2 linked regions of the Notamacropus eugenii genome follow. The protein of the gene in region 2 interacts with the protein of the main gene of each other region in a pairwise test. Links are inferred from orthologs where the notes say so. Each region holds a gene or a part of one and is shown on either strand. Other genes may lie near its edges. The genes, in order: FOXP1 and ZMYM2.

Region 1 (9,169 bases), on a different chromosome or scaffold from region 2:
GACTAATCCAAAGACTAAGGAGAAAGAGTGCTTCCAAGGCAAGACGTTAAAGCTACAATACCTTTTTCTTTCAATGAGAGTTTAGCCAACACCTTGTGAATGGTAACTAGTTGAGTGGGGTTGTGTGTGTGTGTGTATTTAATGCTGTGTAATTATGAGATAGTTTAAATAAAGGAACTGGGAATGGGGGGAGGGAGGATATAAATTCTATTTCTGTGTGTGTATGTGTGTGTGTGTGTGTGTGTGTGTGTGACTAGGAATCTATTCTACTTTTCCTGATCTTAAAAAAAAAAAATTATGTCTACTCCGAGACTTACAAGTCCAGGGGAGGGAAAAAGAAAAAGTCATATAGCATTTCTCTCAATAACAATGAAAACAGCGAGTGCTCTTCTTTCTCAATTACATATCCTACCACACGGCACTGAACATCTGAAGTATTTCCATCTCCTTTTTAAACACTGGTGATAAGGTTCAACAAAAACTGGCCAGCACAATGGAAAAAAAAATTTCCCGAAGGCCGTTACTATGGGTAGGAGGTTACCTCTCCTCCCAGAATCACAACGTCCTAAATGTCATTGCTTTACTTATTCAGCTTCCTTCTTCAGTATCAATTATCAAGGACAGGAATCGCTAAATGTAAAGTGTATATGGTCTGCATGTTTCAGATCCCTCTAGAATGCATACAGTATGTACTGTGTGGGGTTTTGAGATATGGAGACTTATTTCAATGGCAACTGCAAGAAATTAAATCCTAACAAGATCCCTGGGAGGGAATATCAGCTCACCTCTAATTCTTCAAAGTAGATTTCAGAAGCACAGAAATAATCAATGCAATAGTTACATTAATTTCATCCTTCAGCCTAGTGAAGGGGTTTTTTGGGGGGGGGGGGAGTAGTTTCATTTCAACCTTTCTGGTTGAGCAAAAGAAAAAAACAAATTTAGTAAGATGGGCACAGACTAAATCAATATACTTTGTAATCAGCCCAGCAATGGGATTTGAACACAATGACTTGGAAATAATTAATAGTTAGAAGGAGAGTGAGGGGGTGAGAAGAGGGGACAGGAATGTCACCATATTTTATAGCAGCACGTATACGATAGGGCTAAACTTTGATCTCGGATCTGCTGCTTTTAAAAAAGGGGAAAATTCCATTTTTTAAAAAAACACCTATCCTCTGAAGGATGCGCCCTTTGCTGTTTCCCTTTTCCTTATCCCTAAATGAAACCAGAGTTGTAAAGTCTGGGGCTTTGGCAAGAAAGCACTCGTTCTTCCTCAACCTTGCTCTCAGCTTTTCCAACTGCACGCACACACACACACACACACACACACACACACACACACACACACACACACAATCCTCCCCCTCCTCCTTCTCCTAGGGTCCCACAGACCTGCGATCCGAGACGCCTCAGTTTCTGCCGAGTGTCCTCCACTTACCCGGAACAGAGAGACAGGTCAGCCGAGCTCTTAGCGTGCCCACTCTGAGGCTAGCAGAACCCGCACGACCATCTCCTCCCTAGCACCATCTGCTGCTGCTGCTGGGACTGCTTCGGCGGCGGCGGTGGTGGTAGCGGCTGCGGCTGCTGCTGCTGCTGCCGGGGCTGCCTCGGGCGCTCGCCCGTTCGTTTCCTCCTGCAGACAAACTTTCGGCTCAATGGTCGGCCAGAGACCAGGGCTGCTTGCAACAAGTCTCCAGAATACAGGTTTGGGGATGGGGGCGGGGGGGATGGGGAAGTAAGGGGAGAAATAATGGGAGAATGTCCGCGATTGTGTGATTGTGATTGTGTGCGTGTGTGTGTGTGTGTGTGTGTGTGTGTGTGTGTGTGTGTGTGTAGGAGTGAACCCCAGAAAGAGTGGGAGACAGACGCCTCAGAACTCCCTGGTATGAGAAATCGGGATCTGGAAACAGACACAGGCAGGGACTCTCTGAAAAGTCTTCCTCCCCTCGGCCCTGCTCTCACAAAGTTGCGACCACAACAACAACAAAAAGGGGGGAGGAATAGAAAAAATAAGGGGGAGGGGTGGAAGAAGCAGTCCCAGGCTCAAGGTCTGAAGTTTCCACCGTTTATTTAGTCCTGAATCTCTTAAGGGGGACAGGGGAGGGGGGGGCGGGTGTGAGTGAATGGGGAGGGTGGCGGATGAGGGGAGGAGGGTTTAGACAGCAAACCGGGTGTGGGGGGGGGGGGGAGACTAGGGGGAGACTGTGATTTGGCTTCTCTAAGCAGCCCGAGTCCCTGCTCCCCGACAGCCTCGGGGTAGGCGATGGAGGCGGAGACCACAACAGGTGGGCAGGGGGGTCTGCGAGGCTCGATAAATGCCCCCAAATATATATGTCTATATATCAAAGTTTCCGCTGTTTGTTGGCGGTGTGTCCGTGTTGAGAGTATGTGTCCGTGTGTGCGCGCGCGCGCGAGTGTGTAGGGACTGGGGGAAGTCTGCGGGGGGAGAAAGGAAGGGGGGGATATGGTGGTGTTGGAGGAGGAGGAGGAGGAGGAAGAGGAGGGGGGAGGCAGGCTCCGCGTCTGGGAGTTTAGGCAGACTAATGACCCCGGGCCGCCTGGGCAGCCGCAGCGGCGGCGGCGGCGGCGGCAGCAGCAGCAACTTCAGCAGTCGAGGCCCGCCGGCCGGCAGGCAAGCAGTCAGGCTGGCAGCGGGGCGGCCGGGCAGGCCAGCCGGGAGAGAGTCGGGCGGGCGGGCAGGCAGGCAGGCTGGCAGCGGGGCGGCCGGGCAGGCCAGCCGAGAAGAGAGGCAGGCAAGCAGGCAGGGCAACACCGTGAGCGCCCGCCTGCTGCGGGTGCTGCTAGACAAGGGTCGGCCCAAAGGGATCGACTGACGTGGGGGGACAGACAGACCTAGAGACAGAGTGAAAGAGAGAGGCGAGGGCAGTCAGGGAGGGGCGAACGAACGGACCGACAGACGGACACAGAGGGAGAGAAAAGAAGGTGAGATCCCCTCTGTCTGTACAGTCCGAAATAATCACCCGAGATAAGTCGCGACGCGTGTGAATCTGATAGAGGGGAGCAATCAGAACTTGAGAAATTCCCCAGATTGAGAAAGCACACACACACACACACACACACACACACACACACACACCACACCACACAGACACACACACACACACAAAATCACGGCCAGGATTGTAGAAGACTCTAGTTCATAGGGTCATTGCAAAGTCTTGCGAGAAAGGGTTGAGACTAGCCAGTCTTCTCAGCTGTTTGAGTGTGCTTCTCTGTGTGCTTGTATGTGTGTCAGTGTGGTTGTGTCTCTGAATTCGGTATAGAAGTAGCTGGGAACAGTGCGCACACTTGGGAGTGTGAGGTGAATGTTTTCGCTGAAAGGCGTGTGAGTGTGAAAGTGCACGAGGCTCCCAGTGGGTGCCCCTCGTGGGGTACCCGGGGCCTGTCTGCTGGAGCCCACGAGGTAGGTGGGACTAAGAAGGGGCAGACCCAGGAAGGAAAAAAAAAGTTTCTTAAAGTCTTAAGTGAAGGTGCTTGAGTGGTCGCGTCCCCACCTCCCCTCCGGGTCACTGTCAGCAGAGCTAGTCCGCCCCACACAGACATTCTCTTCCCTCCCCCCCAACTCCCCCAGGAGGCCCGAGGCCCGGCCGATCCTCTCCGGGTCTGGAGCAGCCCCCTCAGTCCCTACAGACCTTTGCTCCTCCCTTCCTCCCTCCCGTTTCCCTCCCTCTCCGCTCAGCTCAGCGCCCACAACCACTTTCCATTCAACTGGCAACAGTATCGACTCCAACTCCGGGAATCTAAAGTTACACTACGCTTTTATTTGTTTATTTCACCGAAGCTACTGTGTCCACCGGCCAGAGCCCGAGACGTGAGGGAGGGGGAGAAACCGGGGCTGGAGAGGAGGCTGGAGGGCCAGGAGGTGCGAGGCTGGGGGGAACGGGAGAGCGAGCCCCGGGAGCCTCCAAGCCGGGAACCTCGCCTAGCCTCGCCTCTCCTCTCCTTGCCTCGCCGCGCCCGGCCCGCCACTGAGAAGCTTTGGATCACACTTATGCAAATATACCGACAGATGCAAGAGCATCACAAACAGAGGACCCCCCCTACCCCCCAGCCAGCGCCCCCCCCCAACCCCCTAAGAGACAGAGACTGAGGGAAAGGAGGGAGGCAGAAGAGAGAGGGAGACACACGTGGAGGCTGATCGTGGAAAAAAAAGTAGTTGGGGGGTTGCTCTCTTTTTTTTTTTTTGCTGTTTTGGTTCTTTGGGGGGGGGGGTTGTTGTTGTTGTTGTTTTAAGTGGAGAAAACAAGCAGGAGACGGCTGGAAAAGTGGAGCAGAAATGGAAAAATACAAACTCACCCGCTGCAAACGGTCTCTCGGTGCAAACTAAGGTGTTTTCTGTCCTTTACACACGTACGCTCGCCCTCGCGCGCACACCCGCGTGCACACCCGCGCGCACACACGCACACACTCATAGGCGAGGGCTTGTGTCGCTGCTGCATGCAACAGCCACACGATAAATAACAATAGATTCCTCCGCTCCGGACTAGCTTCCAGGAGAGGCTGAGGCTCCGGCTCCGGCTCCGGCTCTGGCTCCAGCTCTCCCTCGGCAGCGGTGTTGGCGGCAGCAGCAGCAGAAGCAACCCCAACAGAGGCGGCGGCGGCGGCGGCGGCGGCGGCGGCGGGGAGGAGATGGGAAGCGCCAGGCCAGGTTGCACCCCCCCCTCCCCCACCCGCAAACATGCACTCACACACACACGCACGCACACACTGCACACACACGGACACACACGCACGCACCCCGCTCCCTGGCCCGCGGCCCCGGTTCCTGCCCCGGCTCAGCTCGAAGGGCTTCCCGGCCACTTTCGAATTTGCACCCACCCCCAAAATAAATAAATAAATGGGGAGCGAGCCGAGAGGAAAACAAATCGCGGATGGAGATGTTGTTATTTTTTGCTGTTGTGAGTCTCTGACGTCACATCCACCTGCTGGGTAAACAAGGCTCTGTGCAAAATATCGCTATTGCAAAACGGAGGGAAGAGGGGGAAGGAGAGAGGAGGGGAGGGGGAGAGCCTCGAGGCAGCGGGCCTAGCCCCTAGGACCGGGGAGAAGGGGCGAGAGGGGCAGGCGCAGGGGAGGGATGCTGGGAGCGGGTCAGGGAAGACCTGGAAAACAAACAGCCTGCCAGAGGAGGGGGAAAGAGAGACTGAGATTGCTTAGAAGAAAGAGAAATCGGACCAGTTTAGGGACTGGAGAGGAGAGGGGGAGAGCTACTTAGGCAGGGAGAGGGCCGGAGAGGATGAGAAATAGTTTGTTTATTTTTGACCTCCCTAAAATAAAAACAGAAGATTCGGAGGGACCCGAAGCAAGGAGCTGTTAAAAGTGAAAGTGCTTTCCAACCCGTGGTAGTTGAAGGAGAGGCTTTTTCTTTCCTTCACCACCACCCCCTTCCTCCCTCCTCTGGCTCTTCTCTTTCTGCACTTTGTCCAATGAAAGGAGGCGAGTTCGAGAGGTGAAAGTTCAGCAGAAGGACAATTCCATGTTTGCTAGGAAACAGAAATCTCTCCAACCAGGGCTTTCCCTGTCTCCATCCTTGGGTCAGAAAGGATGAAAATGTGATGAGACAGACTTATCTTTTTCTGGCTCACGTAAGAGTTACTGGAGGAATTCTGTAGTTCTGGCCAGTTTGTAAAAAGTGCCCACATCTATGCTCGTGAGAGGCTGTTTGTTTTTGTTCAGTGTGCCTCTTAGGAAAACTCCTAGGAGCTAGAATGCCAATTAGGAGTTTAACACAAATTGCCTGCTCTTGCAGAGATCAGTCATACCCAGAAAGCTTTGTTGCATATAGTCCAGTTCAGACAAGGTGACATCTGTTTGTAATGATGAAGATTCACTAGGTTTGAGAAATTTGTCTGGATGGCTGGATGATGTGGAGAATGTAGAATGCTGAATAAAACGACATCAGACTTGCTTGGAATTAAGCACTATGCAGAGGGATATATATATGCATATGTATGTATACACACATACATTCATCTATACACACATATATACACACAGAGGCATCTATAGATGTGTACATCGACTTATTGGTAAATGAAAATGAGGAAGGTCAGGGGAATGTGTATGTATATCAGCACACACACGCATACACACACACATACACATATATCCCTGAAACAAAAGGAGGAATTATGGATCTTATATTTTCATGTTACAAATTAGAAAATCTCTGCTTTAAGTCTATAACCAGTAGTTAAAAGGGATAGTTTTTATAGAAAATTAATAAAGATTACCTTCTGTGCCCAAACTCCAGACCAGCTTTTTGATAAAGACATTTTCATTTGTGGGATATGAGGTAAATGAGGCCACTGAGGGGATAGGGATGTAAAACCATAACATTGAAAGCAGTTGTTTGCATCCTCCAAAGTAATTTCAGCATTTGAAATCTCAGGAGAACATTATTTCTTTAGCTCTAATACGCTAATAATGGTGTGAATAACAAACATCTTCAAAATTGAAATGTAGGGGGAAGTGCTTTTTAAAAAGTGACAGTATTTCTCTCTCTGAGGTTTGCTTGCCTTGTTTTCTAAAATTATTTAGTTGTATTTTTACGTACTTTATATGTTGCTCTGAAGAGTCTCATGTACTACCTGTTGCCTGTTGGATAGTATTTGAATTAAAATTCCAAATTACCTTGGTCATATAATTTGTCTCTTTGCAATATTGTCACACATAATGCTTGCTGATGAGATATTTTAAGCAGTAATTCAGTGGTGATGTAAGGAGTATCATTTTAAAGCGGTATCTTTATGTTTTTAAATGGATACAACACATTAAAAAGCAAAAGAATTCAATAGATGAAGACTGCAAACCCACCCTGTGCCAATGTAATTCATACTCAATATATGTTGTATAAGGTTACACAGTATTCTCGGACACACAATCATTAGATCATTCAGCGTAATTCTAAAGAGGTAAAGATGTGGGTTTGGTCCTTTGGACATTCTTCACCCTTCAAGATGAAGGCTAGGTCTCCATGTACACTCCTCCCCTGATTTCATATGTTACCTACCACTCTTTCTCTTTAAGCTTTGTCAGGCTTCCTGGCAAGCCACAGAAAAAGTTCCCTGGGATGGCTAAGTCAATGTCAAGAGCTGGTAGAAGGATGGCCTCCTTCCAAAGTATAGTGACAGGACTCCCAGTGGGTAAACTAGCTAAGGGCAGATGTTTCAGAGGCTTTCTTATCTAACGTATATATCTTCATTACCTGTTCTGGACATGTTCCTTGTACGAAACTCTCCTTGACATCAGTGGATATTCCAAATACAGGAAGCGAAGAAACTGTGAAATACAAATCCATAGGCCATATTGGAGAAGAGAATACCCTTTTGTTCTTAAACGTTTTTTCCAGATCCTGAAAGCAGCTGGTAAATGAAGGCCTGTAGCAACACAATTGGGGGAAAATGTTCATTTATTTTAACTTGACTAATCTAGCAATATTTCATAAGAACAAACACAGATCCTCATCTTATTTTTCAGATAAAGTCACTTTTTATTGTGTTTGTCAAGGATTTAAAAGATCTTGAATAGGCCATAAATCTATTTCTACATTTTTAGATTATATATAGATGTGTATGTGTGTATCTCAGATTATAAAATAGATTATTTAGGTTATATATAAATATATAATATACATATACATGTATATATATATATATATATGTATGAATATATATGCATACACACATTCACTTCAGATTTGGAACTGAAATCAGGTTTGCAACAAGTTTCAGAGACAAGAGGGAACCTTCATGGTTTCCTGTGATACACTAGAGTCAATTTTGTATATGAAACCGTCTAGTGCTGCATTATTAAAGAACTACATATCCATTTGGTTTATATTAGCAAGAAACTTAACTACAGCTTAACATATTGTTCATTTTCAACACTCTCATGTTGCATTCATATGGAGCACATTTTGATTTCTTGATCAGTAATCAAGTGGAAGTTTCTTTTTGGCAAATTAGAGGAAGGGTTGAAAAGAAAGGGCATGGGAGTAGAACGCCACCTTTTGGCAGAAAATTAAATAGATATTCACTTAAAAAACAGATGCTCCTAACATTATATTAATATAAAACTACACACACACACACACACACACACACACACACACACACCCATTTGCCCACAGTAACAACCAAGATAATGGCAACATTACTAACATGGTTATATGCATCCATAAAGAAATTTTAAAATATGTTAGAACACACTATGTTTTTATTATGTAACTAAACAAGTATAAATTCTTTTCCCCCTGAAAAGATTGCATTTCACCCCTGGAATAGGAAGATGGGTGTGTACATGTGTTTGTGTGTAGCATGTATGTTTGAATATTCTTGGGGAGAGGTTAAAAAAATAAACATTTTGAATTTGAATTTAATGATGCATAGTCTATGATTTGGCCAAGGTTTTGACCCAGTCACTTTGTGGGTTGTTAGTAGCAGGGAAAGCTTCTGCTGTATACTTCAATTCCCTACCATCACAATGGATGCTGCTTGTGTTAAGAGAACTGAGATTAAAGTATGACTGGCTTAGAGTAACCTGCTACCAGTAGGGTAAACATTAGAAAAAGAATATCAAGTTTATGTCTGACTCGAATGTCTCATATTCTCCTGCAGAAGTCCTTCATGTATAATGAGCAACATATTTTGTAGTGTTTAAAACATAAAATTAACTTGATTGGTCAGGATACAATCCCCACACCTTTAAAAACTAGCCTTAGTCAAACTTAGTTAGTTTCTTGTTTTTTAAACTACTTGCAGATTCAAGCCACTAAATCATCTCTGTAAACCATGATTAATTCCTTTGACATTAATCGCAGGGTGACTTCTCCCTCCTGCTACTCCAATGAGACTGCTAATTGTACTCCAATTGTTTACCTTTGTATTGTTTTATGAGTACTGGGAGAGAGAGAGATGGCAGATATTCCCCACTAGGCCAGAAACAAATGCCAGACAGGTTTGGGGAAGGGCGTACATATGCCATGACTACATCTGGTTAGTAAAAGCGTTATTTTTTTTTTGTTGTTTTCTTTTTTATGGAGGTGATGACGCCTCCATAATTATAGGTGTTGCTGTCTTAAACCCCAGAATATTTCCAAACCACTGTGGTGCCACACCCCCCAGCCTTCCCTGAGCGGTTCTTCTTG
Region 2 (9,169 bases):
GTTTATACATATGCATTCATGCTAAATATCCACATCAGTGGTGTTGTAAAAGAAGAAAGAGAATGAAAGGAAAAAACCATTATATAAATCACAAAGAAAGTGAAAGTAGTATGCTTCTATCTGCATTCAGGCTCCATCAGTTCTTTTCCATCATGAAACTGTCTTAGATCATTGTATTGCTGAGATGAGCTGTCTGTCATAGTTGATCATCCCACAATGTTTCTGTTTACTGTGTACAGTGTTCTCTGGTTCTGCTCACTTCACTCAGCATCAATTCTTGTAAGTCTTTGCAGTATTTTCTGAAATCTACCCAGCATTTCCTTCTCTCTCTCTCTCTCTCCATACACACACACATATACACACATACATATATGTATATATCTATGTATGTATATATGTATAGTTGATATTCACAGGTTTACTTTAATTTTAATGGGAAAATATGGAATAAAGATTTTGAAGAAGCATAATAAGCATTACTAACTTCAAGTTTCTATGAGTTTTCTATATCATAGGTACAGCACTTGGTATGCTCTTGTAAGTACTTCTTCAGTGATGGGCTCATATAAAATTTAAAATAACTAAATCTGATATTCCACATGATATGAAAACCTTCTTTTTTTTGTACATTTTTCTAGGTTTCCTGATGCCATGTCTGCTTTCAGGATTATAACAAAAGGTATTCACGGGCAAATAGAACTGGACCTTATGTCCTTTATCCTTTTCAAGTCAAATAGGATATTATTTCCTTTCACTATTCCAGTCTTTGACTGTGGTAAGGAAGCCTGAGAGGGAGAGAAGTAAAAGACAGCTTTAAATTACATGCTTAAAACCCAGCAGCATATGGTAGTTGACTCTAAGGTACCTATTCAGATCTTTGAGAAATTCAATTCCAAATGTTTTCTTATCAGACCCTCTCACTCTAAATTCAGTGGATTGCTGGCTATTACCAAATTGCTGGCTCTTACCAACTAAGGATGGTGTCATTTTCTATACTCATTATAATCCTGGTTTAACTTTTTCTTAATTTATATATTTACTTTAAGTAATGTGGTTGGGGGTGGGGAAGGGAACTTTAATGGTGACTGGTGACACAAGGTTTATCAGAACAGAAATGTAACAAGTATATTAGTTTCAATAACATTGTATTGAAAGAATTTTATGCATGAATGCAACTATGAAATAAAATAATCTTTAAAAAGAATCCTATTGAGAATATTGATATGAACTATTAGTAAAATAGTTTTTTGATAGTTCAATTAAATTTAGTAAACATTTATTAAGCACTTATTATATGCCAGGCACAGCGCTAAGTGCTGGGGATGAAGAAAGAAGAAAGGGCAGTCCTTGCCTTCAAGAAATTTACAATCCAACAATGGGTAGTGGTAGTGGAATAACAGGCAAACAAATATATACAAAGCAAGAATAAATAGAAAATAATTAAACAGAAAGAAGACACAGAATCAAGAGTGGCTGGGGAAGTGGCATTTTAGTTGAGACTTGGAAGAAAGCTAAGAAGGTCAGTAGAGCGGAGGAGGGAAAGCACTCCACACTCTGGGAATAGCCAGAGATAATGCCCATAGCCAGGAGATGGAGAGTCTAGTAGTTGGTGATCAGCCAGGAGGCCAGTGCCCCTGGATTGAAGTGTACCTTGGGGAAGTAAAGTGTAAGAAGAGTGGAAAGGTAGGAGGGGGCTAGGTCATGAAGGCTCTCGTAGCCGCTAATAATATTACCTAACAGTCATATAGGCTTAGAGTTGGCAAAGTTCTTTTTACAAAATGTTAGCTCATTTGAGCCCTTTAAAGTGAGTGCAATTATCAGACCCCTTTTGCAGGTGAGGAAATGGAGGCTGAGAGAAGAGAGTTGCTCAGGGTCACACAAATGATGCTTATTGCATTAAAAAAAAGGGGGGGAGGAGTTCAAATCCAGCACCTTAAATCCCAGGTAGAAGGACTTGCTCAGTCCCCCCACCGCCCCCAACATGACCAACCAGCCCAGCATAATTTGATTCGAGAAATCTTCCGTTTCTACCAAATTATCCTCTCTAAATTGAATCTGTTAGGAAGGCTCGTGCACCAGTCTTGCAGCGCCCTTCATGGATGATTAACTTCATTAAAAACTTCGTGCTCGCCCGGCCTCGAGTCGGGGCGTTCAGTCGCCGGGGCGCTCCGGCACCCGCGGTTAGACAGACAATGCTGAGCTTGCAGGCGGGCGAGCGGCCTCCCCAGCCTCTCCTCGCCCGCCCGGCCGTCATTTCTAGCCCCCAGGCTCCTGCTGGGGCCCGGCTGCAGCGCCCTCGCGGCGCTTCTCCCCGCAGGGCACGCTGGAGCCTCGGCAGTGGAGCCCCACCATTCCGCCGGCATCAGACGGATACCGGGAGAGGAACTCGTGGGGCCTCGGGCTGCCCGATGCCCGGGGGCGGGCAGGGAGGGGCAGGGAGGGTCCCCGAGCTCGGGTCGTGCCCGGGGGGCCTGGGGGCCGCCCCGCCCCCCGGTCATGGAGGAGCCTAGAGTCTGGAGCTCCAGCCAACCTTGGACGACCAGAGGTGGTGGAAGGCTGTTGAGACGGCCGCCTGAGAACGGGGGAGCAGGAGGAGGCGAGGAGGCTGCCGGGGCGGAGGGAGCTGCACCGTCTTGTGACAGACCAAGGGGAAAGCTCCAGCCCCTCCAACAAGCGGGAGTCCAGGCTTCAGGGGAGTCCGCAGCTTCCTCCATTTTGGTTGATGGAGGCGGGGAGGAGCGCCTTGATCTCTCACCTCCCTCTCCAAGCCCTCTGGCTTCCTCTAGCCCCTCACCTCCACATGCTCGAGGCAGGGAATGCCCCCACGGTCAAACGACCGCTCCAGGCTGGGGCTTAGAGGGGGAAGTGGCTTTAGCCCCACTGGGTTTGGTTTTGAATTGGTCCCAAGTTCCCACAGCAGCTTCCGACAAAATGGAGGACGCCGTCTCCTCCTCCTGCAGCCATGACAAGGAGGGGAGGGAAAGGGGGGTATTCCCCATGGGGGGGGAGAGGGTTAGAAAGAGTGAAGCTCCCCTTCCCTCAAGAGGCTTGAAGAGTTTTACCCCATCCCTTCCCTTTAGCCTGGCATTCCAATGGCAGCTCCTGTCCACTTCTTGCCCCATCTCCGGGGGCGTAAGGGAGATTGGAGTCGGGGTGGGGAAAAGGATTTGGGGGCATCTGGGCTGTTGGTGTCTTTCCCCACTTATTCCTGTAGGGAGAGTTCTTTAGCTGCTGCAGTTGCTGCACAAGATTGAGTGCCCAGGCCTGGGTGAAGACAGAAGGGCCCCTTAGTCCCATTCCCATTTGCCACAGCTTCTGTTTTCACCCGCCTGTGCCCCTAAGTAGCAACCCTGGGCTGGTGGTAGTGGGCAACCAAATTCACATTTGCCATAACCAGAAAGATCCAGCGGGGGGTTGGGGTGGGGAGGGAATGAGGATGGGGGAGGGGGTTTGGGGGAGAGGGGGAGGAGTGGAAGGGGGGACTCTGGGCGTGGCCAAAGTTTGACGGACGACCTTTTAGACCACCCTGCGAAGGCGGGACGGTGAAAGATTATCCTGCTGGCCAATTGACGCGTTCTAAACACCCCCGCCCGTGCCTCCCGGCAGCCAGTCCTCGTCCGGGTAGGCGGAGCCTCGTGGGGCTCGGTTGTGCCGCCTCCTCCTCCTCCTCGCCAGCGCTTAGCCCGGGACTGGACCGAGTGGAGTTGTGCGTGTTACCGAAGGGGGGGGTGGGGCGGGGGAGGGGAGGTTCGTTCCGTGGAGCCGCAGCCAGAACCGGGTGAGGATTATCCCCCACTCTTTCCCCAGCTCGGTCCGCTGATGGTGGGGGTGGCTGGGGGCAGCACTGCCTCCGGAGGAGGCGACTGGAGAGGCGGAGACGGGTGAGCCACCGAAGGAGCCTCCCACCTCCTCCGGCTTGTTACCCCGTAGTGCGGCGCTGCGGCCGTGCAGGGCCTCGGGGGCTGCCCCGGGGTCTCTCCCTCCTCTCGGGTCCGAGGCCCATTGCGGCGCAGCACGGCCCGGTCCGCCGGGCCCCGGGGCTGAGCGAGGGGCAGGGCCGGGCGCCGGCGGGGAGACGAGGCCGCGGAGGGGGCAGCCCCGCGGGTTTGGCAGTCGGGGCGTTCGGAGGCCGGGGTATTTTTCCTTTCCGTCTCGGTTTCTGAGGGGGGAGGTGACGCTGAGGGAGCTGGAGGGGGGCGGCGGCGGTGGGGACCCGGGTTCCCCCCGCCTCGGGCGGGCTATTGCCGCCGCTATTTCTCCGGAGTTGTTGGGGGGCTGCCCCCTTTCCCCACGGAGAACCCGGTCGTCGGCCCCCCGCCGTCCCAGGCGCTGCCCTGCGACGCTCCTGCGTCTCCCGTATTGTTTGCCTGGGTCTCTAATGGCGGACGGGGAGGCAGCGCTGCCGGCCGCCGACTGCAGGGGGGGCCAACCCCGGGCCCGGGGCAACTGCTGGGGGCAGATGGGGAGATCGCGGGCCGGCGGTGACGTGAGTGTCCGGGAGTGCGGTGCGGACGTCTGGATTCGTGGAAGAGGAGGCCGGCAGGGCCCCCTTCGGAAGGAACGTCCTCTCCCTCCTGGCGTCGAGGCTCTGGCTTCCCCCTCCCAGAGCAGAGGGCGCGGATGCGTGCTGGCCCATGTCGCCTCTCTAGACCTGGCCCGGGCGCCGGGGCGGGGGGGTGGGGGGTGGCCCTCGGGGCTCGGAGGGGAGGAAATGAGGCCCGACCTCCACCACCCCCACCCCCAGGGCGGGGGGACGCGGCCTTATTGGGGCCACTTGATTCTCGTTCAAATCTCTTCTCTGTTTTCGTAGGACCAGAAATCCTTTCCAGCCCCATCTGGCCCAGCTTTGGCCGAAACTACGGAGGAGAGTCCCCCATTGTGAGTCCTTTTCTCGTTATTTGTCTCCTTTTGCGGGCCTAGCCCCGGGGTGAGGGGGGGGTGTTAAACCTCCGGGATTCGCCGCCGGCCTCTGTTGTCTTGAGAAGGAGGAGCCATTGCTCGGGTGGTAGCTGCCCCTGGGGCGAAGACCCGGGACTGGCTGGGAAGGCGGCGGGGGTGGGCTCTGTGGCCCGGCCGCCACCGACGCGGCTCCTGCGGCTGCGAGAGCGGCCCGAGCCCCCCGACGACGGGCTGCAGCTGCTCACGTTACCGGGGGGAGGGCACTTGGCTGGTGCCCCCTAGAGTCTGCGGGTGGGAACCGGAGCCGACTCAAGATGAGCTGGGGAGATGCCCTAGGCATCTCTGCCACCCGCTTCTGGCCGAGAAGGCACAGGAGACGCTGGACGAAGGAAAACGAATCTGTTATTTGGTGTTCTGTTTGTTTAAAAACGGAGGTCCCGTCGTCGCGTGGGTGATGAGACGCTTCCTAAAGCTTTGAGTTCGGGTGCCGAGAGCTGCCGTGGTTTCATCCTAGTGTGTGGCAATGCTGAACAGACTTAAGATCCTTATTTGCCTTGATTTCCAAAGTCTCTGGATTTGATGTTAGATATATTTTTCTGTATTGATTATTAAATGAGAATTAGACTTTAATGGTTGTAATTTGTCGTTGTGTTTGAAACTTTCTTTTCCTTAAAGCTAAGATTTCCAGAGTATAAAGTAATAAAGTGACAAAAGTGAACGCCATACCTCTCAACAATGTATTTTGGGAAACCATGGAATTTTGTTTAATCGGGATTTATAGGACTCTCGCTAGGGGCGCTGCTTCAGTTTTGCAGGTTATTGCATAAATATGCAGTAAACACCAAATACTCAAGAAAAGTTAATCACATCCAATCCAAAGCCACTGAATTTCGTATGTTAAAGTGTAGTATTTCTGAGAATGGAAGGATGTATAAATGCATTTAAAATGGAATAAAATTACACGTGTGAAATAAAGCTTCCAAACTCATCTAGCAATTTCTAAAGAAGGTAAGGCTAATGATTAATTTGATTTTCTTGCCCTTTCTTTTAAAAGGAATATAAATATCTTTAAAAATATTAGATTTAATAATAAACAACTCTTTTCAATAGATGGACCTGTTAATGTAAAAAATAAAGATCCTGAATTATGCTGGATACCTTGTTCTTTTTCAGCACCTTTTTTTGATGTAACATTGAATCATAACTACTTCAAGCTGGTTAGTGTTCGGTAACATTGAATCATAAATACTTCAAGGTGGTTAGTGTTCAGATATTTTCCCCATGTGTTTTTAATCTTATAGTTGTTTAAAAACCGGAAGGACAGATGGATATTAACTGTGATACTGAACACAAATGAAGAGCTATCTAGTAGATCCTTGAAAGAGGGATGAAAATTTATTTTTGTGTGCCTTTGCTATGATCAGCTTTATCCTATTAATGAGGGTGATGGCATAGATATATAAAAATATTAATTATAGTAACTGACATTTAAGATTTTCATAGTGCTTTGTATAGGTGTTTCATTTGTTCTTGATAAGAACCCTGTGAGATAGGTGCTGTTGATACTCCTGTTTTACAGATGAGGAAACTAAGCTTCAGAGGCTGTGACTTGCCCAGGGACAAATAGCTATTTTCCGAAGTGAGATTTAAAACCATGTCTGCCTGACTCTCCAGTCTGTCTTCCACTATACCACCAAGCTCAGAGGTTCCCAAACTTATTTGGCCTACTGGCCTCCCTCAAAAAAAATTTCTCAGCCCCCCTGAAAATTTACTTTCTTTAACCTTTTAACAATTTTTTTTGAAATGTGTGTTATTTAAAAAATTTTTTTTAAATGATGCATCTTTAATTTAATAATTTATTGTAAATTGGTGGGTTTTTCATTGCATTGAAATTTTGATGATGCAATATAGTATCATATTGTAAACAAGTCATTACATTCCTACTGATGCATGCTGGACTTCCCAACAATGCCCCTCAGGCTGTCCTGCCAATACTTGCTTGTTAAGACCTGTGGGCTCACTTGACCACTGATGGGTTATAACTTGCATTTTGTGTGTTTATTTGGAAAACAACATAATCACTACGACTTTAACTCTGTTATATGACAGATGAAATGAAATAATTTTTTTGTAGTACATTACCTTTATTACTTTAGTTAAGGCAATATGAAATTCTTTTTTCAACCACTTTAAAATTTCAGGTTAATTGCCTTGAGTAATCAACAAAGTAACTAATTGACTTTCTTATGAAATTGAAATAACTTCTAATAAGTGGTTTCCCTTTTTTTGTATTCTTTAGTGAGAGTTGAATTTATACAGAGGGGTGGGTATACCTGTAAATAACATGAAGTTAGTTTGAGCACAGTGAGGAAGCAGCAAACGATTTAACTTGGACTTCTGGGCACTTCTGATCTAGCTTTCTTTGCCTTGGATTGCCCTGCCTCTCCATCTTTAAAGTAATTTTCTTTGATGGACCCTACCTGAAAGTCATTTATATCTCATTTGATCCTTTAGCTTTTTGGCACTTGCCATTAGGTACTTTATTCAAATTTGGTTTTGGTGTTTATTTTTCTTAGGGCCCCTTCTAGTCAGTCCCTTCAGGCAGAGATTCTTTCTTTTGTAGAATCACAATGAGACATTTTACTATTAGTCACTTATAAAATGTTGGCCTATATCAGAAAGTCAGATAATTTAAACTAATGTTCTAATGTAAAGCATTTCAGTTTAGACTAGAATTACTTCTATATAATTATTGTCTTTAATTTTTACGTTCTCTTATTCAGGTTGATGTGTTTTCTTATAGTCCTTTGTGGTCATGGACTCCTAGGAGTTTAGAGCTTCAAGAGACATTTGAGACTTAGGGTAACTCCCTCTGTTTGCAGAGAAGGAAACGGGCTCAGGTCAGTGAAATAGTACTCATGGACATTTAGTGGCAGAGTTGAGATTAACCTCGATATCCTGATGGTCAGTCCACACTTATTTTACTATATTATGTTTTCCCATATAATGTAAATGTCTTAATTAAAAACAAAACAAAACAGGACCTCTTGTCCCCATGAAATGACTGTTCAGTGAAAATTCAAAGTAAAGCTTACAAAGAACAAAGAGATTTGAATTTAAATTTTAGTTAATGAAAGGTACAAAAAGAATCTGTACTAAAATGGAATGTAGTAAGAAGCAAATTCTTAAGACATGTGAATGGCTTGATGTTTTTTTTTTTTCCTAAGACTGGGTTTATTACTAATGAAAATGAAAGATTGAGATTGTTGGGGATCTGTTTTTGTGGATTGGGCTGAAGGTTGCGTATGTGAGTGTTTGTTAAAATATTTCTGAAAGTAATTTTAAATTATTTAAGCTGTTCAGGTAATCTGTTACATGTCAGCATACCATCTTATATTTATATCATTACTGAGGTATCCCCCCAAGATCTGTGAAGGTTTGCCAAATTTAGTTCATTCCATTTCAGATATTGACTGGAATGACTTTCTTCAGAGCAAAGGTTCTTAACCATTTTTGTGTCATTGACTTTGCCGGACTAGCAAAGGCTATAGATTACTCATAATAGTGTTTTAAGTGCATAAAATAAAATACGTAGGGCTACAAAAGAAACTATTAAAATGTAGTTATCCAAATATTTTTTAAAAAGTTAATGACCCACAGATTAAGAACCCTTTTTTAGGGGATCTACATTCTGTCCTTGTTTTCTTAATTGACTCTAGGTATAAGTTTGTCTGTGAAATTTAAACTTGTGCTAATTGAAAAAATTTTGTGCTTGAAGTTTTTTGTGTTCCATAAAAATATGAAATTGTAAAATGAATATTTTAAGCAAGTTCTGCAGTAGTGACTGATGGATGCTAATAGTATAATCTTACTAGATAAGGTAGGTTGAGTTAATTTAGTTTTTCTCTTTTTAGCAGGTGGAAGAGATATTGGCATATCCACTAGTCCCAGTGGTTATTTAAATATTCTCTAATCATATTTGGTTGGTTAGGAAAAATATTTTAAGTATCTGGGTCAGGTACCAGGTATTTTGATTAGAGATCATGGAGCTACTGATCTAAGGACAGATTTTTTTCTTTTGTGTGGGCCAGGTAACTTACAAGAGAAAAGTCGGAGGAACTACAAAGTGGGACTGATTTATATGCGTGTCTGAGGAAATTCTTCTCATTTTGTGTCCACATGTTGACTGTGGCCTGCCAGGGCCCCTGTATCTTGGTCCACTAGGTGATCTTCCTTTAAATGTATTCTATAAGTTTTATATTCTGTCTTA

Evidence for each region.
Region 1: the proteins of ZMYM2 (region 2) and FOXP1 come close enough for resonance energy transfer, tested with the Homo sapiens proteins (2 studies listed by BioGRID). The link is inferred for Notamacropus eugenii from reciprocal best matches to the Homo sapiens genes ZMYM2 and FOXP1.

Annotation. Positions count from the first base shown.
Region 1 is NC_092874.1:451,885,945-451,895,113, reverse strand, and holds the start of FOXP1 (forkhead box protein P1), read right to left. Parts: upstream 4,509-9,169; 5' UTR 4,318-4,508; intron 1,705-4,317; coding exon of another isoform or gene 1,493-1,704; exon of another isoform or gene 1,439-1,492; intron 1-1,438. Other genes in the region: uncharacterized protein, read left to right, coding at 1,493-1,704, 4,509-4,854. UniProt on the Homo sapiens protein: Transcriptional repressor. Can act with CTBP1 to synergistically repress transcription but CTPBP1 is not essential. Plays an important role in the specification and differentiation of lung epithelium.
Region 2 is NC_092876.1:186,826,891-186,836,059, forward strand, and holds the start of ZMYM2 (zinc finger MYM-type protein 2), read left to right. Parts: upstream 1-3,670; 5' UTR 3,671-3,778; intron 3,779-4,810; 5' UTR 4,811-4,878; intron 4,879-7,682; exon of another isoform or gene 7,683-7,799; intron 7,800-9,169. UniProt on the Homo sapiens protein: Involved in the negative regulation of transcription.